Tamandua tetradactyla: one gene and its partners. The protein of the gene in region 1 purifies or fractionates together with the protein of each later gene. This does not show direct contact. Links are inferred from orthologs where the notes say so. Each region holds a gene or a part of one and is shown on either strand. Other genes may lie near its edges.

Region 1 (8,297 bases):
CGGACAGGCCACATTTTGTTCTCCAGTGCATCGCTCAATGGACTTTTGGGTTGTTCCCACTTAGGGGCTACTGCAGACAGTAGTGCTGTGAACATCTGTGTACAAAATTTGGTGAAAGCAGCTACAATTTTACGCAGTAAATTTATACACCTGCCCTGGGGCTGTTCGCTCCACAGATGCAGGGGAACCCAACTTATTCACTGCTGTGTCCACAGCACCCCACTCCAGCCGGAAGCACAGCAGTGGAGCTGCTAGAGAAAGGAAGGGCAAGAGGACCCCCGGCTTTCCAGTCTGAATTCCTCTGGCTGAATTCCCTCGGCTGCCCCCAGGTCTGAGGCTCCCCTTCTCTCCTCTGGCTCCCTCTGGGGTCTTGCAGTGACATCTACCTGTTTCCCCTTTCCTTCCCTACTTTTTATCATTCCAGCCCTTTGCATACCCTATCAGCTTTTCTTCAAAATGTGCCCCAAGGGCGGGCCACGGTGGCTCAGCAAGCAAGAATACTTGCCTGCAATGCCAGAGGACCTGGGTTCGATTCCTGGTGCCTGCCCATGTAAAGAAAAAAAAAAACGTGCCCCAAATCCAACCACTGTCCCTTGCAGTCCCCGTCTGGATGCCTGCAGCAGCCTCATCTGCTTCCCCACTCCTGCTCCTACCTCTTCAGTCTGCTCTCTTCACAGCCGCCAGAGGAATTATTTTTAAACCCAAATCAGATCACACTGCTCTGATCAAAACCTTCCCGTGGCTCTTGTCTCACTCCAGAGAAAAGCCGAAGAGCCGGCTGTGGCCCACAAAACCCTACAAGGCCCGCCCCACTGCCCTCTGTCATCGCCTCCTGTCCTCTTCCCAGCCTCTGCTCCAGCTCCATATAAGGCCTCCGCACCCTTATCTGAACAAACTCATCAAGTGAGCTCCAACCTCAGGGCCCTTGAACACACTGAGTCCCCTGCCCGGGCCCCTCTTTCCTCTAAAATCTGCAGGACTTGCTCCCTCACATCACACCAAGTCTCCACTGGATTGTCACCTCCTCAGCGAGGACTTCAAACTGACCACTCTCTCCATGCCGGTCATTCTCCATCCCTTTTCTGCCTTATTTTCCTTCACGACCGTCACTTGATGTTGTGCCATTGATTGTTCTCCTTGTGTGTTTATTTCCATCTCCCTCATGGAATGGAAACTGCCAAGAGCAGGGGCTCCTGTTCTCTGTTGCAGCCCCTGGTGACTAGGATGGTGCCTGGGACCCCACAGTGATCAAACAACATTTGTCAAGTGAAGGAATGAATGAGCCTTAAGTGCCAAGGGGCTGTTATCAGTGCTGTCTACAGACAAGAAAATGGAGCCTCAAACAGGCCAAACGACTTATCCAGGGGACACCCTTGCCCAGGGACACCCACCTGGGAGGCACGGGAGAGAGCACACACTCAGTCCTAACAGCTGCCCCCCACCCCCCCTAGCCTGACTAACCACCCCTCATAATTCCCTCCCCTTTTCAAAATAACCCTAACTTCACCTCCATCAACTGGCACCCAATAGCTCCCATCCTTCCTGCCCACTGAGCACCTTCTACATCCCAGCTCCATTCATACCTACTGAATTCTAAAATAACCACTGGGCACTTAACAGGAGCCTCCGCAGATCCGGCAGAATGACAAAATAGCCGGTGTCCATCTGGTGCCTGGCACATGTGAAACGCCTCACACCCACCACACACAAGACCAAGACCACCCCATCAGGAAGGGGTGCTGGGCAGCCCATCTGACAGACAAGGCACCCGAGAGGTGAAGGCCCTCATTCAAGGTCACTTGGCACACAAATTCAAAGCCAGGACTGGCTAACCCCAGAGCCCACTCAGACACAGCCTGAGCTCCTGGCAGCTCTGAACACCAACGCCAGCCCCGGGAGCTGGGAGCTGACTTGGTGACAGGCCTCCCGTCCACACAACTTTTTCCGGCAGGGATCACTGACCCTAAACTGCTGTGGTCAGATGAGGAAACGCTTGGAGTCAGGGCTGTCCTGCTGCCTGACCCCTGATGTCTCTCGGGGACCATCACCACCACCCCCAATCCCACTCCTAGCTTTCCAGATCTCTCCCCACAAACCCCTCAGGCCCTCCTTCCTAGAGCTTTGGGCAACCCCCCACCCTACCCGATGGAACATTCCTCCAGCCTCATCCTACTCTTGAAATAAACTCCTCTCTTTTCCTGACCCCACGTGTCAGGTTCTCTCATGACTCCCTCCACAACCAGCCCTCTAGCCCCCTCCCCACTGCCCCCCATCTCTTCAGCCACCCCCCATCCTGGAAACCCCTATCTCTCACCAGGGTCCAACTACAGTCCCCCATCTCCCCTCCCCAAGCCCCCTGGGACTTCCTATCACTCCCAAGCCCCTTCTATACCCCTAGCAAGGAACCTGTGACCTATCCAGCCCTTCTCATCCATGACACCCCCTTTTCCAGGCGCTCAAGCCCTGCCCCACTAATCTTGCTGTGTTTCACGTCCTCGGTCCGCTCTAGCCTCCTGCCGCTCCACGGCGCCACAAGGAACCCCCCATGTACCTCCTTCAGTCCGGTCTACAGCAGGACCCCCCATCGCCCACAATGCAACCCACACTCCACCCACCCACGGTCAGCCTTTCCACCGTTCCCGAGGGACGCCGCCTGGCCCCCCCTCCCCTGGACCTCATGGGCCTCCCCTTCTCTGAGACCCTCCCGGGTCCTCCCCGTGTCGTCACCTCAAGAGGCACTCGATGACACCCGCAGCCCCTCCATCCCCGCCACCCTAAACTTCCCCCGGCGCCTCTCTGGCTGTGACCTCGCTGGCCTTCCACCCCCGGGGCCCTTCCACGGCCTCCGAAGCCCCCAAATCCACGCTCCCCCGCCCCAGTGTCCTCCGGCCGCGGGCTCACAGTTTCGGATGTCGGAGATGAACACCGCGAGCCCCCGCATCCCATCGCCCTTGGACACGGCCGGCATGATGGCGGGGGTGTCGGCTCCAGGCCTGGCCGGGCAGGGCACAGCGCAGCGGGGACTGGCGGGCGGCGACCAGGCGTAGAGAATCTCAGGCAGCGCCGAGGAGCCGGGCCGGGACTAAGGGGAGGGCGCGCGGGCGGGCGGACAGGCCGCGGCTCCGCCCCCGGGCCCCTCCCCTCGACTCCACCGCCCGGAACTGTCAGCCGCGGGTTGGCTGTGGCTACTGCCGCTAAGGCTAGGGCTCATCCCCTACTGCTTTCTAATTGGCCCTTAGGTAAAAGTACAGCGCTGCGATTGGTCCAGTACCCCGCTATTTCCGTTCGGGCACGGGGGAGGGAGCGGTGCCCAAGAGACGGGCTGGGTTCGGTTACGTACCGTGGGACCGCCCCCTCCGCGCTGCCGGGTCGGATACTGATTGGACCTGGCCTCTCTCCGAGAGGGGATGAAAAGACGTGAAGGAAGGCGGGGAAGCGGGCCTGAGGAGGCGGGACTTGAGTGCACAGAGGCCAGTGGAGGGGCAGATCACCCCCACAGGCATCGCGGATTTGCGGGGTCTGGCCTATTTCCGCCCTCGAGTGGGCGGGTGTGGGGGCGGGTGGAGGGCGATGATTGGTGGAGAAGGAAGGAGACGGGGAAGAGTCACTCAGCTGGTCTGGGATAGGTAGAGCGACGTCTGCAATTCCCTGCTGCAGAGAAGGGGTTGGGCGGGGCGAGAGTCTAGGAGGTGTTTACTGCGCAAGCGTCTCCTAGTTTCCCTTTTTCCCCCCCCCAATTCCTTAAATTCATTTGTAGGAGCATTCTCTCTTCCTTCCCGCCACCTTTCTCTAGATTCTAAGATGTCAGGACTTGGCTTGTCAGAAAACCTGGGATCTCACTGGAGAAGAACTGTATCCACGTCTAGTCCCATGAAACAGAAGTTAAACCTGAAGTCCAGAGACGTTGAGTGACTTGTCAAAGGTCACACAGCTCGGCAGCGGCAAAACTGAGATTTAAACTATATTTTGGCCTATAGCCACTTTTCATTGTTTTTTGTTTTGTTTTGTTTTGTTTTTCTTCAACAACAACGCCTCAGGTAACCTCCATTAGAGCAGATATCAAATAAAAATTGTGATTATCTTCACCAGATGCGCAGCTCCGCCTGGGCAAGAATGGAACCTTGTACTGCAAAGCTAAAAAGGAAAAAAAAATGCTTTTTGAAGTAAGGAATGGGTCAATCGGCTTTGGCCCGGCCCCTCGGCGCTCCGGAGACCCTGTTTGGTTGATTGGCTTTGGGGAAAACAAAGCTTCCAGAACTGCAGCGCCCTTGGCTATTGAGAAATTTGGGGCAAAGGGAAGTGGGAGAGTCCATTTCTGTCACCTCGAGGAACAAAACCCCACCCCACCACCCTTTTCTAATCTCAGAAGCCAAGTATCCCGGGAATGAGCCTTAGGGGAGTGTCCTGATCCTGGGAATGTCCACTCCGAATCCTGGGGGAATGGGTAAGAGCCCACCTCTCAGGTTCAGTGGATCCGTCCATTTGGATTTCCAAGAATAGGGTTTAGGAAAATACATTCTGCATCCTAGGGGGGGCTGTCTGGGCCGGCGAGTCCATTCCTAACACCGCGAAGGGGAGACTGGCTTCTCCTAGGGAACGTAGGGGCAATCCTATTTTAAAAATTGTATTATTAGGACCAGGAGTTGAACAAGTCCTTTTTTTAATGGAGGAAAACATTAAGCGTTCCAAGGACTTGTTCGTGGGTGACTTGGAGAGGACCACTTTGTCCCTGAAGAAATCGCCTTTAAAAGTATATAGTAGTAGTAGTGGAATTCAAACTAGTCCTGTTTGGGGGTTATGAGGAAGAGACGTGAGGGGTCGTTACGCACACACACACACAAAAACACCGCCACCACCGCCATGTCCCCCACAGAGCCCACCTAAGGACAAACAGATTTAACTCTGGGTTCTTGGTGTGGAGTGAAGGATGTCCTAGCCCCCTCCTGGGTATATGGGGGACTCAGCCTGGCCTCTCCTCCCTCAGGGAGCTCATTAATTGGCTGAAACTTAATTTTCAAGACTGGGCTTAAAGTAGAAGCGATCTAAGGTCTGATGAGGACCTGAGACTGGGGCAGGTTGAGGAGCCAGGGGCTGCCTTCCTGGGCCCTGGGCGTCTTGAGCCTGAGAAGGGATGGACATGGCTGACCCCCTTTGAGTTAGAATAGCACTGTCCACATAGAATTACAGTGAGGGGCGGGCCACGGTGGCTCAGCAGGTGAGAGTGCTTACCTGCCATGCCCGAGGACCCGGGGTTTGATTCCTGGTACCTGACCATGTGAAAAAAAAAAGAGATTTACAGTGAGAACCCTGGGTGTAATTTCCAATCTAGTTTTCAATTTCTAGCCACGTTAAAATAAATAAATAAACAGAAACAGGTGATCCTAACTTCCATAGTATATTTTAGTTAATCCAGTATCCAACTGTTATCATTTTAGCCTGTTTTATGTTCTTATTTTTGTAAATCTTTGGAATCCAGTAAACATACAGCCCGGCTCAGCTTGGACAAGCCACGTGGCCTGTGCTCAGCAGTCAGAGGCTCTCAGTAGGGTCAGGCAGGCTGGGGCCAGACCATTCTGGAAAGCTGGGGCTGATCTGCTGGTAAGTCACCTGGAAGACCAGGTCATGAACAAGTCCACCTTTGGAGGAGATCTAGGGAGGTGTGGTCAAGCCATGATAGGCTTTAAGATGGGACGGTAAGAGGGAACCTTGGGCACGCCAAGGAGCACATGGGTTGAGCCACTAGTAGAAGTTCTAAGACTTCCACCCGAGCAAGGCCACTCATGATGCACATCGGATTCTGATTTCCTCCAGAAGAACCAAACTTACCCCCGGTCTTCGCGTTTGGGCACCTGCCATAACTCCAGACATTTGTTCTGGAATCCTTCCCCACCCCTCCACCCAAACCAAATCAGGACACATCATGATGCCTGCAGCCACCCCATGGCCTGCCTCAGCCCCTTCCAGGCCACCACCCTCTGTTGCCTGGATCTTGGATTGCTTTCTTAAAGCCCTCTCTGCCCGGTCCTTCTGCAGCTTGGATTTTTAAAAATTTTTATTGTGGTGACATACATACAACCCCAAATTTCCCATTTTAACCACTTTCATGCATACGATTCAGCAATATTAATTACGTTCGCAGTATTGTGCCACCATCACCATCATCCTTTACCAAGAATTTTTCATCACCCTGAACAGAAACTCTGTACCCGTTAAGTAATCACTTCCCCTTCCCTCCCTCCAGCACCACCACCCCCATAACCTCATCCTACTTCCCCTCTCTATGCATTTGCTGATTCTGGTGAGTTCATGGAAGCAGAATCATGCATTTGGCTTATTTCGCTTAGCATCATGTTTTTTGATCGTTTGATCGCACTATTACTTCATCCCAATTGCCAGTTTCTGCTCCATCACTGCGTGATGAACATTTCTAAATACTCAGAAAAGTCAAAATCGCCATTGAGCCAACACCCTCTACCCCCACGTTGATTCCACCGTTAACATATTTCTTTACTTGCTTTATCACCTGTTTGTATGTGTACCCTTCCCTCTGTCCATCTGTACCTGACCCCAGATGCTTCAGCCTGCTTTTGGCTGGAACTTGATATTCACTTAGATTCTTTTTTGTTTTTGGGGGTGGTTTTTTTTTTTGCATTTTTAAAGTTTATTTATGAAACATAACCGCATACAAACACAAACATTCTTACCATATGATCATTCCATTCTTGTTATATAATCAGTAACTCACAGTATCATCACATAGTTGCATATTCATTATCATGATCATTTCTTAGAACATTTGCATCAATTCAGAAAAAGAAATAAAAAGAAAACAAAAAAATTCATACATACCATGCCCCTTACCCTTCCCTCTCATCGACCACTAGCATTTTAATCTACTAAACGTATTTTAACATTTGTTCACCTATTATTTAATTATTTTTAATCCATATGTTTTACTCATCTGTCCATAAGGTAGGTAAACGGAGCATCAGACACAAGGTTTTCACAATCACACAGTCGCATTGCGAAAGCTTTATCGTTATACAATCACGTTTAGATTCTTTTTCAGCAGGTAAAATGCACATGCAATAAGAGGCACAGACGTGCAGGGCACAAAGCGACATGTTTTGACAGAGGTATGTGCCTGCCGTCACCCCATTTCCATTCCCTTTCCATCATGCGTCCACGCCCAGTGTTTTTTTGTCTGTGCATCTGTCTTGTTGCTCCCCCGTAGGAAATGGTCAGGGGCTTACATCCGTGCTCATTGGCCACCACCTCCCAGGCCCCCCAAAAACACCAGATCCCCGGCATTGGGCCAACCATCAAGTATGAGAGTGGGGGGCTGTAATGACCCCACGTTTGTTCTCAGGAAGAGGGGAGTCAGAGGTCAGAGGACACCCCCCCCTCACCCCAGGAACCCCAGGGCCCACTTGTTGTAAGTCTTGAACTAAAATTTGAGGAGGTCCGGTGTGGCTCTGAGAGGCCGGGGGCACGCTGGGGTAGAATTGGAAGCCTCAGAGGTGGGGGTAGTCCATGAGAGTTTCTGGAAGGTTCCATGAGCCAGGGCCTCTCTCCCTTCCTGGGTCACCTCCCCTACCCCCACCCGGGGGCCCAGTTGGTTGGGCCCTTTGTGAGGCGGGCTGAGGGGGCAGGGGCTCTGAGGTTCAGCGGTCAGAGTAGGTGGCGAGTCTCAGAGGAAAGAGCCCCTGGGAGCAGGACCCCCCCATGCCATGGCGAGCGTGGTGGTGAAAACAATCTGGCAGTCCAAAGAAATTCACGAGGCCGGGGATCCCCCCGCGGGGGTCGAGAGCCGCTCCCAGCTGCTCCCAGAGGCCCCCGGGGGGGTGCTCAGCCCGGCCAAGGGGATCACGAAGAAAAAGAAGGCCGTGTCGTTCCACGGGTGGGTTTGTCGCACCCTGTCGGGGACGGTCCTAGCGCCCAGCGCTGCCTCCATCAGAGCCCAAGTCCCACCGTGGGTGCTGGAGGAAGGGGAGGGGGAGGGCAGAGGAGGCACAGCCAGAGGGCAGGGGCGAGGGGGGAGGGGAAGGAAGAAGGCAGAGTGCAAGGGGCAGAGGCAGACACAGTAGAGGGGAGGGCAGTGGTGGATGCAGGGAGGGAACACTCACTGGGGAAGGAAAAGGGAGAGAGGAACTGGGGAAGGGAGAGGAAAGTGGTGATGGAGCATAGTCAGTGGGGAAAGGAGAAGAAAGTAGACAGCTGGGATGAAAAGGGAGAAGAAAAAGAAAGGCGGGGATGATAAGAAAGAAGAAACAAGGCAGCAGGGAAGGGGAAAGGAG
Region 2 (7,494 bases), on another chromosome or scaffold:
CTAGAAGGAAAAAGCTAAGAGGATGGTATTGTAGCCCATGACAAACTCTGGGATCTGTCCTTTAACTACTTGTTGAAGAGTGCTTGAAAACTATTGACTTTTTCTTTCTTTGTTTTGTATATATGTTATACTATACAATTTAAAAAGTAAAAAAAAATTCTACTGAAATGTAATAATTCGTTTCAGAACAAAAAAGATTTGTTAAAAAGGCATATGGCAAAACAATGGAATCAGAATTTGATAGATGTCAAACAGAAATCAGTATTTGACATATTGTCAATGCTGACTCAGCATTATTCCTAGGAAACACATATTTTGATTTAAGGTGAACTAACAGGTACTATCATAATCTATTATCCTTGAGAAAAAGAAATGAACCCTAGTGTTTTGATGTCTCATTTCCAAAATATTTAGTTTTAATTGTAACATTGGTCTGTCAAGCAAATTTCTCCTGTGGTTGATTGGAAAAGCTCCAGATGTAAAGATTAAGATAGGCTTCAAGTTCTAGGATAAAAAGGTCAAAGGTAAAAAAAGTTCTGGACACCAAAGACAGAGAAGGTACCCAAGAAACAAGAATTTAAGGATCATAGATGGCATTAGGGTATTAGGGGATTCTAAGAAATTATTTCAAAAAGCAGACCACATAATTCTGAGATAGGTTACTGAAATGGTAGCCTCCGTACACAGCTGGGAGACAGCATAGAGTAATTAAGAGCTGGAGTAGCTGAGCTATGTTGCATAGATTCAAATCTCAAGTATGCTACTTCCTAACTGTGACCAAGTGACAAACTTGTGCCTCAATTTCTACATTGATAAAAGGGGAACAATGATGATATTATTACTTTTTCATATTAACCCTCATATGAAAAGTGCTTTGAATAGTACCTGGCACATATTAAAACCATTAAATGTTAGTTATTATACTCGTAACTTGCACAGAATTCTAATACAAGAATTTGATTTCTCTATGGGGAGGATTCAAATAGAACAGCCACTGCTGCAAGTTTAAAAGTACTTCTAGTACAAGAGCCCAGACAGGATGAAGTGCTCATGTCAAGGCCAGTCATTCACTCCCTTATTAGCCAAGTAAGCTGCAAACCTACTAAACCAAGGAACCAGATCCTGGGCTGTGATCACCTCAACAAAGCAGTTATTTTAACTAATCCTCATAATCATATTTGGCATAAAAGGAAAATAAGAGATAAAAATTTCATTGGTTTGCCCAAGAGTCACATCTCAAAAATAGCAGAAATGAGATTTCAACCTAGGCTCTGCATTCCAAATCCATTCTCTCTGCCCTATCCTAGCCTTGGAAGTGTCAGTTTGTTTCAGTTTTCAATTCACTTGTCTATTGAATTTAGTTTTATTAAACCAGTCTTCCAGGGATTGAGGAAACCTGGGAAAAACAATATGAATTTCCGACATCAACAGAACTGACTAAGCAGGACCTAGGGAAGAACTACTTTTATAGAATCAGGTGATGCTAAATTAAAGTGGCACCAACAGTGCAAGAAGTGGGCAGCCTAGGCTAGTGGGAATTTCTTTTAGGTTTAGACAGCACAGACACAAATCCAGTCTAGAGTCTGAAAGCAGGAATTCAGAGATACTGTTTTTAGGCAGAATCCAATGATGGGAGATGGTAGGATTTAAGTGGTCAACAACTTTTAAACTCAGAAGAAATCAAGAAATGCAGTGGACGCCCAAGAGAGGAGGCTTGGGCACATGTGGATGGGATAAGATGGTCACTATGGGAAATTTTTGAGATGAGGCTTTAGTGGCAAGGGAGTGAGATTAGCAGCTATATAATGACAGCTTATGAAAACAATCTTTTGCTCAATCAGTCAGCAGTCTTACTGAGCTCCTATGTGCAAGGCAGAAATAGAGTGGAAGGTGATACACTGATAAAATGTCAAATGTTTATACTTTTTCACATTTCATCACCTTTTCTCTACCAATGTGTGAGGCCAATGTGTGAGGCAGTTACTGGCTTCCACTAAACCATTACTGAATTAATGACCCTGCCTTGGGGCAAGTTGCAGGTCTTTGAATTTTATGGAATAGGGGGGTGGGGAGACTGGAGGAACCAGTTGAATGGGGTTAAGAAAAGGCAAGCCTGTAAGTTTAACAATGAAGCCTTTCTACAGGGCTTTTACTTTTCCTAAAACACTTCTGCATTTATGATTCCCCCAGTTACAACTCCAAAGAATGGCTATAAGGTAAGGTAGTTAATATTTTTATTTAACCGGTGACAAAACTAAGGCCCAGAAAGCTTTATTAACTTGCCCAAGGTTACACAACACACGTCAATTGCAGGGGCAGGAACTAAGAACCCAGGCTTCCTCCCTGTTCACGGAGTCCTCCCACTGAGCGATATAGACGCAATCTACCACTTAACGCAGGGGGAGAGCCCCGCCGTTGGAGAGCACTCTCGCACTTCACACCTGGGTCTGAACCTGTTGCCCGCAAAACCCCAGAGGGAAGAGGGTGGATGGTCGTGGTTTGGGGTTGGGAGGTAAGGGGAGGCTCCTCTCTTCTGTGGGAATCAGGTGGTTACTTACTCATATTGTCCGTTCCTCTGGGCTAGGGTCAGAGCGCAGGGTTCCCGGAGGGGCCCTTTCATCTCCATACCCTCGATAGTATGCGGACGCTAGTCAAGGGTCTCTGGAATCACGGCCGGAGAGGGGTGGCGTGGTGCGGTGCCGAGGCAGCCTGTCGCCCCTCCGCCCGCCCTCCCTGGCCCCCAGGCATCGCCTCCCGCGCCAGCGCCCCCTCCCCCTGCTCTGCTCGGCGGTTTCTCCAACTAGCCGACACCCTCCCCGGTGTTCCACAGTTCCCCCCCGATCCCCATCCCCGGGCCGATACGGCTCCCCCTCCCCCTTATCTCAGGCGGATACGGCAAGGGGCTGGGCTCCGACCGGGAACGGCGGCTCCATTGGGGAGGCCTCCGGGATCAGCGGGACTGCAGACTGCGGGCGGATCCAACGACGCTGCCTCCCTTGCCCTCACACCCACCTGCCTGCGCTACGCTTACTTTGCAGAACGGCTCAGCGCCGCCAGCCTCGACCCGGGAGCCCAGAGCCCGGAGCCGGGAGCTGAGAGCTTGATCCGAGAGAGAGCGGCGCCTCGCGCCCCCGCCAGTTTCCCAGGCCGCCGCAGATTCCGCCCTCTGCGGCCAAGCTGTGGAACTGCAGTGACAGACACGACGGACTGGGGGCGTCTTTACCATGTCCAGCAAGGAATGCATCTTAAATACTACCTGTGACGCCAGCATTGTTCTGGGGACTTTGAACAAAATGCAGTCATAACTATCAGGGGGCTCAAAAGGTGTTGGGCTAATCGGACTCATATCAAATCTAGTCGAAAAATCCTTATTACTGTTATAATGCACTATGCGGGTTATCCTATCTCTCAGATGTTCTTCTACCCTTCCTCTTCTTTCCACCCCCTAAACCAGAAAATTCCTCAAAGCTCAGACTCTTGCTCCTCCTCTGTCCCCTCTCAAGGTGATCTCTAGGCAGGGAACGTCCAAATATATATCCCTGGCACAGACCTCATATTTAATATACCCCATTGTTAACAAAATACACAAAACCGTATAACAAATCAAACTCATCATTTCACACAGGGGTCTAGGCTTGAAACTTCAAAGCCATATGCTTTCCTCTCTCTCCTGCTTTCTCTGTATCCATTCAACTTTGTTAATATTTTGGGGGGAATTACTTTTAGATTCCTTGTTTTCTCTCCATTTGTTTTATTTTCAGCCTTTGTGATATCCTATCTGGGTTACTGCATTTCCCCCCAAATGAATCTCGTTGTCTTTAATCACTGTTTTAACTATTTTATTCTCTTTACAGTGATAAGAATATTTTTCCCAGAGCAGTGTTTTAATTACTTTTATTCATTTGCTCAAGAATCTCTAGTGGACGAGATACCAAGAGTGATTCTAAAACTATAGTAATTAAGACAGTATGGTTTGGAGATAGATGGATCAATGGAACAATATATAGAACAGACCCACACATATATGGAAAGTTGATATTCAGCAACTGTGCTCGTTTGAAAGGATTATGTACCCTAGAAAAGCCATGTTTTAATGCCGACCCATCATGTGGAGGCAGCTGTTTCTTTTAATCCCTATTCAGTACTGTAGGTTGGAAACTTGATTAGATCATCTCCACGGAGATGTGACTCATCCATTGTGAGTATTAAGCTTTGATTAGAGGGAGATGTGACTCCACCCATTCCAGGTGGGTCTTGATTAGTTTACTGGAATCCTTTAAAAGAGGAAACATTTTGGAAAAAGCTTCAGAACCAAGAGAACCATGAGAGCCCATGCAGCCAGAGACCTTCGGAGATGAAGAAGAAAAATGCCCCCTCGGGGAGCTTCATGAAACAAGAAGCCAGGAGAGAAAGCTAGCAGATGTCACCATGTTCACCATGTGCTTTTCCAGTTGAGAGAGAAACCCTGAACGTCATTGGACTTCTTGAACCAAGGTATCTTTCCCTGGATGCCTTAGATTGGACATTTCTATATCCATGCTTTAATTTGGACATTTTCATGGCTTTAGAACTGTAAACTTGCAACTAAATAAATCCCCCCCCCCCTTGTTTTTGAATGCTGTATGGTGGGATCACATTTCATTTAAATTCCCCTTTTTAAAAGCTGTTCTGTTTCTCGTATATCACATTCCGGCAGCTAGCAAACTAGAACAGAATATATGACATTTTAAAACAGCAGGGAAAGACCAGATTATCCACTAAATGGTGCTGGGGCTATTGAGTATGCATATGGAAAATTATAAAATTTTCCTACCTCGCACCATATAGGAAAAACATTATTTTAGGTGGATTAAAGATATAAATGTGAAAAGCAAGATTTTACAACTTTCAGAAGAAAATAGGAGAATATCTGTACAACCTTGGAATAGGGAATGAGAGTGATTACTTAAGACACTGGAAAGTATAAAGAATTAAGTGCAATGATTGATAAGTGTGACCATGTTAAATTTCAAAATATATGGCTTCAAGTCAACTTAACCTAGTTAAAAGACAAGCCACAGACTGGGAGAAGATATTCCCAAGGCATGTGACCAAGAAAGGATGACTTCACGACTTCTGGCTATCATCACCTTTCTGACTTCCTCTCCTGCCACGTTCTCCAACTCACTCTGTTTAGTCACATGGATTCCTTGCTGACCTTAGGACTAATCAGGCCTTTGCACGTGCTGTGCATTCTGCCTGTTCCCTCACACCCTTCAGGTCTTTGCTCAAATGTCACTTTCTCAGTGAGACCTTCCCAGATCACTTTATTTAAAATTGTAATTTGATAATCCCCTTCCCACACATGCTCCCTATCCCTCTTCTCTGTTTATTTTCTCTCTGTAGGATTGACCAGTATCTGTTGTATCTTTATTTTATTTATCAATCTAAATTATTGTTTACTTTCCTCCATACAATGTAAGCTCCTTTAGGGCAGGTGTTTTTGTCTGTTTTGTTTATAGCTGTATTCTTTTTTTTTTTAATTTTTATTGTCAAACCTTAACAAACATACTAACATTCCTAATATAAAAACATTCCTGACATACATTCTATAAATGGTGTACAATCAATGGCTCACAATATCATAGTTGTGTATTCATCACCATCATAATTTTTTGAACATTTGCATCTCTCCAGCAAAAGAAAGAAGAAAAAGCTCATATATCTCATACCCCTTACCCCTCCCTCTCATTGACCACTAGTATTTCAGTCTACTCAATTTATTTTAACCTTTGTTTGCCCTATTGTTTGTTTATTTTTTATCCATACTTTTTACTCATCTGTCCATACCCTAGATAAAAGGAGCATCAGACACATGGTTTTCACAAATCACACATCCACATTGTAAAAGCTATATCATTATACAATCATCTTTAAGAAACATGGCTACTGGAACACAGCTCTACAATTTCAGGTACTCCCCTATAGCCATTCCAATACACCATAAACTAAAAAGGGGATATCTATATAGTGCATAAGAATAACCTCCAGATTAACCTCTCGGCTCTGTTTGAAATCTCTCAGCCACTGACGCTTTATTTTGTCTCATTTCTCTTTCCCCTCTTTTGGTTGAGAAGGTTGTCTCAGTCTCTTGATGCCAAGTCCCAGCTATCCCAGGATTCCTGTCCCATATTGCCAGGGAAGTTTACACCCCTGGGAGTCACGTCCCACGTAGAGGGGGAGGGCAGTGAGTTCACTTCCCATGTCGGTTTAGAGAAAGGCCACACCTGAGCAACAAACGAGGCTCTCTGAGGGTGACTCTTAGGCCTAATTTTAAGTAGGTTTAGCCTGTCCTTTGCAGGCATAAGTTTCATAGGGGCAAACCCCAAGATCGAGGGCTCAGCCTATTGATTTGGTTGTCCCCACTATTTGCAAGAATATCAGGAATTCTCCAAATGGGGAAGTTGAATACTTCCTCCTTTCTTCCCATTCCCCCAAGGGGACTTTGCAAATACTTCTTTATTCACTGTTCAAATCACTCTGGGATTTATCGGGGCATCACATATAGCTGTATTCTTAGTACTTAGAACTGTTCCTGAGATAAAGGAGATGCACAAAAAATACTGATTAAATGTATGAATGTATAGAGAACTAAAAATCAGTAAGAAAAAAGCCAGATAGAAAAGTTGACAAAATATATGAATCAGCTATTCACAGTCAAGGAAACCCAACTGGCCAATAAAGATATGAAAGAATGCTCAGTTTTATTACTATTCAGGAAAATGCAAATGTAAACCATGAGATACCATGACTGCTAAAAGGAGGATAAATTGGTAGAACTGCTTTGAAGTGCAATCTGACAACGTCTAATAAAATTGAATATGTAATACCCTTCAAACCAGAAACTTCATTTCTATGTATAAACCCTGACAAAACTCTAACCTTTAAGCACAAGGAGACATGTAAAAGAACATTCATTGCAGCATTATTTGTAATCTCAAAAAAAACTTGGAAGCACCTTAAATGTTCATTGGTAAGTGAATGGATGAATAAATCATTGTATTCATGAAGTTAATACTATCTTGAAATGAAAAAGAATTAATTAGTGCTAAATGTATGACATGTTTAAATCTCAAAAATATAATGCTTAGCAAAAAGAGCAAATTGCAATACATATATATAGTATGCCAGTTATATAAAGCTTGAAAATATCTGTTGTTTATGGCTATCTAGATCTGTAGTGATAGTATATAAAACATCATCACCAAATTTTTTTTTGTTTTTTAATTTTTTTACATGGGCAGGCACCAGGAATAGAACCCGAGTCCTCAGGCATGGCAGGCAAGCACTCTTACCTGCTGAGCCACTGTGGCCTGCCCATCACCACCAAATTTAAGGAAGGAAGATGATTGCGATTGGTGAGGGGTACACTGAGAATACAGACTGTATCTGTAATATGTATTTTCTTAAACACAACCTGAAAGTTAGTGTTGTAAGATTTGATATAACTGGGTG
Region 3 (7,810 bases), on another chromosome or scaffold:
AGAACATCTAGTGAGGGCAAGTGGAATTATAGAAGAAAAATCCTAAAGCTGGAGAGCACTTAATACCCTGAAAAAGTCACTACTGTATCTACAAGTCATAGAATATGATCTATAAAACAGAAATGTTAAGAACTAGAAAGGTCCTTAGATCTGCTAGCTCAAACTCCCTTACTAGAATGTAAACTCCACGGAGGCAATAACTGTCATCTATTTTGTTCACTAGCATATCCTCAGTTGGCAGAGTTGAAAATGGAACTAGAGTTTCATTACTCTAATATTCTTATCCTCTCTAGAAGCTAATATACAATTTACTTTAGTTTGGGGGTTGGGAGATTGAGGGTTGGGTGGCAAGCAGGGGAAGAGGAAGGAAGGCATAAATTAAAATATTTTTCACATTTCCCTCCCCCGCAACTGTCAGTTGCGCTTAATCAATAAAGGCAGAAAATCATAAACAAGACAATCCCAACACAGTGTCTAGCACATAATACTTAAATATTTGTTAAAATGAACCTACCTCAAACCCATCATTATCTCACAACCAGAGGCAGAAACTAATTTCAGTATCCTTTTAATCTTTATAACTGCCATAGAGTGTTTTAGAATTTTCAATCATTCATTTGACAAACATTGACTAATCATTTTCTTCAAGATGGGCACTGGGGGAGAGAGAGGAATTAAAAGCTACCCTTGCCCTGAAGGATTTCTCACTCCAGTATGCCTACATGTTGGGGGAGGGGGAAAAGGGTGAGGAAGGCAGGGGGTGACATAAATATATCAATAATGAATGTGAGACCAGATTGCATTATCTCAAATTAAGCAGTTAAACTCAAGCAGTTAAAAAATGTTTTTAATTAAAAACCTACATATCTGCAAAGTTCTACAATAACAAGGAGGCACATTAGTGTATACTAACAATTGAAAAGGTTCTTTTTTACTGGGCCTTTACAATATATCTCACTGCCTTTCAATATTCTAAAATCAAAATAGTCTAAAGTGATTTTTTCGAATTATCAATATAAATGAACCATCAATGTAGTATGTTCTCTCATCTTTGAAACACTGAGGAACAACACTCGTTCCTAATTCATCATTTACTGTGGGTACAGGTTAACTCCTAAATATATAACTACAAGAACATAAATCACTTAGGTGACTACAAACCTGATAGAACCTGAAGCAAATCACCAAAATGAATGAGAGAAAAGAGATATTTTAAAAACAGTATTACCCAGGGAGAAACTAAAGTTTACACACAACTAAGAAGCAAATCTATAAAAGTCTTCAAAAGAACAAAAGTATCAGAGGAGAAAACTCCTGCCAGAATTAGCCAAGAGAGCCAAAGAGCAGTAGCCTGCCAAAAGGGATCTTGTTTAGTACATGTCACTAACTACACTCAGAAAGCTAACACCCAAAAGTCAATGTTGCCATTCTTCAAATTTGAATTTCAGGCAGACCCTTCCAAAGAGATTCAAGACCAAGACTCTAGCCACCACATTCCATATTAAAGGGGTCTTCCCTGCTATCTGCTTTTCAAATCAGGATAACTAACACCAAATAAATGCAGAAATAAACATTCACTTATGAGACTGTTATTTCCTGCAAACTGAAGTTTGTTATTTTACCTGCAGCACTTGTTCATTAGTAACTCCTGGTTCCTGGGAGAAGACATTTATCACTAAGTTTCTGTTGTGGAGTACTAGGCACAAAATAGCAAGGCCTCTTGTTTCTACACAGAAGATCCTACTGCCTTATTAAACACCGACAAATCCAAGCCAAGAAGACTACAAGGTAACAGAAAAATTCCACACGGTGGGCAGGAAGGTTGGGCCCCAACATGGAAGTATATGGCCCTGTTCGGGTCAGAGGGAGAGGAAGGGATTGGCAGACACCTGTCATCTCATCATACCGGCTATCATACTGGCCAACTACAATTGGCTTTCTTTGACAGAGAGGGAGGAAAGAGGTTCTCTGAGTAAGTGATGTTGGGAGGTCTTCTGTGAAGCACAAGGACTGGTCTCTGAAGGAAGCAAAAAGGCAAGAGGAAAAGACCTTAAAGAACAGATTTTGGTGAAGATTCCCCAGGACAAGTAATCTCAGTGAATGTTCCCAGGACCAAGACTAGAGGAAGCAAACGCTTGTTTCAAGGCTGTTTCCCTCTTGTACGCTTGGAGAGGGATTAAGTGAGAGCCCACCTGGCAGGGGTGGAGGTGGATTTGGAAAGGAAAAGACTCGAAATCGGGATCTGGCCCAGAAGATAACCTGACCGGGAGGGGAAGAAACTCAACTCAATAAGGAGTTAGCAGAGTGAGTACATTGATAGGATGAGGATGACTGAAGAAAACTGCTGGGGAGGAGGGTGATTTCATTGGACTCCAGTAGGCAAAAAAAAAAAAAGCCGACTTAAAGGGGAAAGACTAGTTTCGAGTGAGCTTGTGCGTCGGGAAGGTAATTCTGAGGGGGGAAGCGCGCTGCCTTGCCAAGAGGGCGAGCCTCGTGCGGGGCGAGGGCTGAAGCAGGGGGTCAGGATGGTCCACGCGAGCTCAACACGGAGCTCACCTGGGAGTGCGTCTGGCCTGGAAGAAGGAAACTTTCTTGGGTCGGTGAAAGCTGACTGGAGTGAGAAGGGCCGGGCATGGGTTGATCCAAGCGGGGGACACGGTCCACTCAGCAGCGGCGAAGAGGGGCCGGTCGGGGGGCGAGGGGGGGGCACTGAGGGACCCGGGGCGGGGTCGCGGCTGCCGTCGCTGAGCTACCGGCTCGGGATGGCGCCCTCCCCCAGTCACTCACACGCTGCTTCTCATCAACACCGGCCGCCAGGCTAGCGAACCTGGAGAAGCTGCCCGGGTCGGCGAACCTAACGACAGTGGGGGAAGAAGTCTGGAGCCACGAATAGGCCAGGCACCGGCCGGGGGACCCCGGCGGCCGGGCGGGTGGCGTTACCTGTGTCAGGGAAAGCTGGGCCGCCGCAGCCATGGTGTTTCCATCATGCACAGGAGGGGAAGGAAGGACTGGCGGACGGAGACTCGGGCGGGGAGGAGGCGGAGGGAGCGGCCGGAGGCGAGGCCCGGGCAGGCGGGCGTCTACCCCAACTTCGACAACTTCCCTCCTCTTGCCCGCCCCGCCCCGCCTGGCCCCGCCCCCCGCCCGCCCGGCGAAGGCCGCGGCGGAACCCAAACCTCGGCACTGGAGTTTGAGCCGCCAGACCGGAGCTGCCTGTCCTCGGGGCTGCCTGAGAAAAGCCCGCGCGAATAGGAAATTAAGGCAGACGGGGCTGCGGAGTGGGAGGGGAATCCTGATTGTCCTGTGATCTTTGGGCAGGTCACCTACCTAGTCCGGAGCTTCTGTTTTTTGAAAAATGGGAGAAATTTATACCCACAGTCCAGGTAGCTTGTGAGGGCTAAATGAGATAATAATGGTAAAGAATAACAGCACTTTGTATGTCCCAGGCTCTGTGCCAGACGCTTTAATTTTTTTAATTGTATGAATGAGGGAACTGAGACGCAAATAAGTGTCTTGCCTAAGATCATACACCTGAGTAGATAAACTGGATTAGAATCCAGGTCTGACTCCAAAATCTTTCATTTAACCATCTACTATTGGAGTATGATATCACTGTCTCTCCAAGTCAAAATCTAGGTGAGAGGGGGAAAAAAATCCTTTCCTCGCCTGCTGGCTGCCGCAAATGGATTGGCCAATAAAAGAACACAGCCCTGCTTAGATGCCTGCATCACCTCCTAACTCTTGCTTTAATCTATCTAGCAAACTCCTCCTCATTCCTTCAGACGAAACTCAAGTGTCAACTCCTCTGGAAAACTATTTCCTGACCTCTTCAAATCAGAGTTACTCTCTTCTTCAGTTCAACATTTCTTCTTTTAGGAAGTCATCATCACCTGAATGACTGTTTATATCTGTTTTCTTGCTAGACTGAGCTCCTCAATGACAACGGCTGTTTCTGATATATTTCTGTCCTCAGACCTTAGCATGTAGTAGGTGCTCAGTGAGTGTTTGCATGTCTTAGTCCCTGCCTGCATTAAATGTAAGACTTCCTAGACTTTCCCATGCTGCCACCTTCAGTTGGAATAACCAACCAGTCATTTGAAACCCTCATCTTCAAAGGTCTGGCTTATATGCCATCTCCTTCAAGAAGCCTTCTAGGAATTCCCCACCCCACCTCTTAATTGCTCTGATACGATCCTTATTACAATCTGCCTTGTTTTTAAGAGTTAGTTGAGGGCTTGTCTACACCCCACTAAACTGAGGACATATGGCCGACTCTCTACCACAACCACTCACAGTTTAACCCAGCCCAGAGAGCGCTTCGATAAATATCTTTGCCCAGAACTGGTCTCCCTTTCTCAGTCACTGTGGCTTCCCATGACAATTAACCACAACTCTATCAAGCCCACACCCCTGATACCATTATCATAGCAGTCCTCATTTGATGCCCTAGGAGCGCCAATTGAACAAACCCATGATGGAGCTGACCCCACCTAAGTTTTTAGACCTTTTCCACTATAGGCAAACCATCCCAAAAATGTCCCCAGGGACACCTAACTTTGCTCAGACCCCTTCAACAAGGTCCATCCATTAAGAGCAAGTAATACAGGTCTGTTGTGCAATCACTTATTTAACAAAGAGTCTTCCTTGGCCTCTTTTTGCTATTTTTCTTTTTGCCTCAAGGGTGAAGGGGAGACACTGTTTTAAATGACTCTGCTTTGGTATGTTTATCAGCTAGAACCACAACTGATGTCTCTATTGGAATTTTCTATTTCATGTTATCACATTTGAGCTTCACAGCCACCTGAGAAGATAGTGATCATCATATGCACCTTACAGATGAGGAAACTGGGCATAACAGAGACTAAAGGGATTTTCCCAGTCACACTGCTAATAGCCAAAGCAGTGTAGTGTAGTGGAAAAGCAGTGCAGTGTGATACTGTGAACTAGTAATTGTATACATGGATGATTTGTATGGTGTGTGAATATATCTCAATAAAATTGCATTAAGAAAAAAAAAGCAGTGCAGTGTAGTGGAAAAAACAGTGCTCAGACATCAGAAACACCCATTTTCTAGCTGTAAGACATTAAGGTAGTTGTGAAGATAAATGAGATAAGATGTAGGAAAATGCCTAAAGCTGTAGGTACATGAATTTAGTTAAGAAATCTGAAAGTGGTAGAGCAACTTGATTTTGGGAGTTTACTTTTACTTGCTGTTCCAGTCTGCTAGCTGCCGGAATGCAATATACCAGAAATGGAATGGCTTTTAAAAGAGGGAATTTATTAAGTTGCAAATTTATAGTTCTAAGGCCATGAAAATGACCTAATTAAAGCAAGTCTATAAAAATGTCCAAATTAAGGCACCAACAAGAGGTTACCTTCACTCAAGAAAGGCTGATGAAGTTCAGGGTTTCTCTCTCAGCTGGAAAGACACATGGAGAACATGATGACATCTGCTAGCTTTCTCTTCAGGCTTCTTGTTTCGTGAAGACGTTTTCCTTCTTAATCTCCAAGGGCGTCTGGCTGCATAGGCTCTCATGGTTCTTAGGAGTCTGCTCTGTTGCTCTCTCTTTCTCCAAAATGCTTCCTCTTTTAAAAGATTCTAGTAAACAAGTCAAAACCCACCTGGAATTGGTGGAGTCACAGCTCCCTCTAATCCGAGGTTAATAGCCACAATTGGGTGAGTCACATCTCCATGGAGATAATCTAATTGAGTTTCCAGTGTATAGTACAGAATAGAGATTAAAAGAAATGGTTGCTCTCACTGGATCAGGATTAAAACATGACTTTTCTAGGGTACATAAATCCTTTCAAACCAACACACTTGCTGTTCAAGAAGTCTCCTCCAAACCATATAAGATACAAGATGTTATTCTGGTTGAATAGAGTCGAGTCCCTGGTGTACACACTCCTAGAAAAGGAGTGTGCAGTAGTAACACTGAAATAGAATATTGAAGTCATTTAGTATGTGAGTTCAGACAGAGCATTTAAATTATCTGAACTTCAATCTCTCATATGTGAAAATTAGCAAATCACAGTTTGCTAATCACAAAATTAGCAGTATGGAAGTTTTTGAGGAAATATAAGGAATTATTATTATTTAATACAACTTATAATAAGTAGAAAATGGCAGCTAATATTTGTGCAGTATTGCTCCTCACAGTTTATAAATGTTTTTACATACAACATTTAGCACAACTTCTGGCATCTAGTAGTTGTGGCGAAAGTGTTAAACAGAACTATATACATAATCTCATTTGTAATTATTTGGATCTCCATTTCATACATGAGAAAACCAAAGAACACATTTTTTATAACTAATTTGTTTAAGGAAGGATCACTGAAAGCAGATTTGGGCCTTAGAGAAGAAAAAGAAAAGGGAAGGGAAGGGAAGAAAAGAAAAGGGAAAGGAAAAAAGAAAAGAAAATGTGCTAGTTTGAAACTGTTATGTATATGTACCCCAGAAAAGCCATGTTCTTTTAATCTAATCTTGTGGGGGTAGACATATTGTTGGGTAAGACCTTTTGATTAGGTTATTTGACCCCACCCATTCAAAGTGAGTCTTAATCTACTTACTGGAGTCCTTTCAGAGAGACATTTTGGAGAAAAGCACAAATGCTTGAAGAAAGAAAATGCCCCAGCAGAAACCAGAAGGACCCACAGGAGCTGAGAGCCATTTTGAAACCAACCCAGGAGAGAAGAGCCAGCAGACGTCACCATGTGCCCTCCCATGTGACAGAGGAACCCAGATGCAGTTGGCCTTACTTCAGTGAAGGTTTCCTCTTGTTAATGCCTTAATTTGGACATTTCCATGCCCTAGAATTGTAACTTAATAAATCCCCTTTTTAAAAGCCAGTGCTGGGGTGCACGGGTAGTTCAGTGGTTAGAATTCCTGCCTTCCATGCAGGAGACCTGAGTTCAATTCCTGGACCATGCACCACCACCAACAACAACCCAAAAAAAATGCAGAAAAGCCAATGCTTTAGTGCGGTGCAATGGTGGCTCAGTGGCAGAATTCTCATCTGCCATGCCAGAGACCTGGGTTTAATTTCTGGCTGCCCATGCAGGAAAAAAAAAAAAAAATCCAATGCTTTAGCAGACCAAAACAGAAGAGAGAAAAATTTTATGAAATTTGCCCCAGGCTCCCTTCCATACTACCAATAATTTGTGCCACCAACTTCCTCCCCTCCTTGGCTCTGGATTAAATCAATAACTTGATAAGTAGTAGGGGATGGAAGCAGGTCTACAGGGGTGGGAGAAAATGGTCCAAACTCCTAAAAAGGCCTAAAACGTCTGGAACTGGATTTTTTAAACTGACACAGCAGTGATAGTTTGCAAATGTGTGTCCCAGATCTCATCAAAGCACTAGGTCATATCCCAAATCTATTTTAGGAGAGCAAAATGTAGCTAATGGAAGATATGTTATGATCTAATTCACTGTAACAAGAATGAGCTTCAAGGAGCAGACTAAAAAGACTTACCTGTTTTTTCTAGGACACTTTAAAGCCTCTGGGTCTCTAAGCCTCTGATTCCTCATGTGTACATTGTAGATAATACTTACCCTGTAGGGTGGTGTAAGGATTAGAGACAATACATAAATGGCCTATCAAAAAACCTGGCCTAAAATTTGTATCTTGGGTAGCACATTACCTAATTTAACTCATATGGCCTGTTTAGTTGAACGCTGTAAGTACATGGAATCTTGAATAGGGCATGAGATCTTGTTGGTCTGTCCAGGTTAATGTAATGCCCTGATAAATCCCAGAGTAATTTGGGCAGTAAATAAGGAAGTATTTGCAAAGTCCCCTTGGGG

Evidence for each region.
Region 2: the proteins of AP2A1 (region 1) and OCRL purify together in Homo sapiens (affinity purification with mass spectrometry; 3 studies listed by BioGRID and IntAct, counting the BioPlex papers as one, with this or other methods). This does not show direct contact. The link is inferred for Tamandua tetradactyla from reciprocal best matches to the Homo sapiens genes AP2A1 and OCRL.
Region 3: the proteins of AP2A1 (region 1) and EPS15 purify together in Homo sapiens (affinity purification with western blotting; 5 studies listed by BioGRID and IntAct, with this or other methods). This does not show direct contact. The link is inferred for Tamandua tetradactyla from reciprocal best matches to the Homo sapiens genes AP2A1 and EPS15.

Annotation. Positions count from the first base shown.
Region 1 is NC_135342.1:11,396,343-11,404,639, forward strand, and holds the start of AP2A1 (AP-2 complex subunit alpha-1), read right to left. Parts: upstream 3,108-8,297; 5' UTR 2,969-3,107; coding exon 2,902-2,968; intron 96-2,901; exon of another isoform or gene 1-95. Other genes in the region: TSKS (testis-specific serine kinase substrate), read left to right, coding at 7,731-7,972.
Region 2 is NC_135353.1:34,135,980-34,143,473, forward strand, and holds the start of OCRL (inositol polyphosphate 5-phosphatase OCRL), read right to left. Parts: upstream 3,137-7,494; 5' UTR 2,934-3,136; coding exon 2,895-2,933; intron 2,639-2,894; coding exon 2,559-2,638; intron 1-2,558. UniProt on the Homo sapiens protein: Catalyzes the hydrolysis of the 5-position phosphate of phosphatidylinositol 4,5-bisphosphate (PtdIns(4,5)P2) and phosphatidylinositol-3,4,5-bisphosphate (PtdIns(3,4,5)P3), with the greatest catalytic activity towards PtdIns(4,5)P2.
Region 3 is NC_135328.1:170,658,264-170,666,073, reverse strand, and holds the start of EPS15 (epidermal growth factor receptor substrate 15), read right to left. Parts: upstream 3,137-7,810; 5' UTR 2,974-3,136; coding exon 2,941-2,973; intron 1-2,940. UniProt on the Homo sapiens protein: Involved in cell growth regulation. May be involved in the regulation of mitogenic signals and control of cell proliferation. Involved in the internalization of ligand-inducible receptors of the receptor tyrosine kinase (RTK) type, in particular EGFR.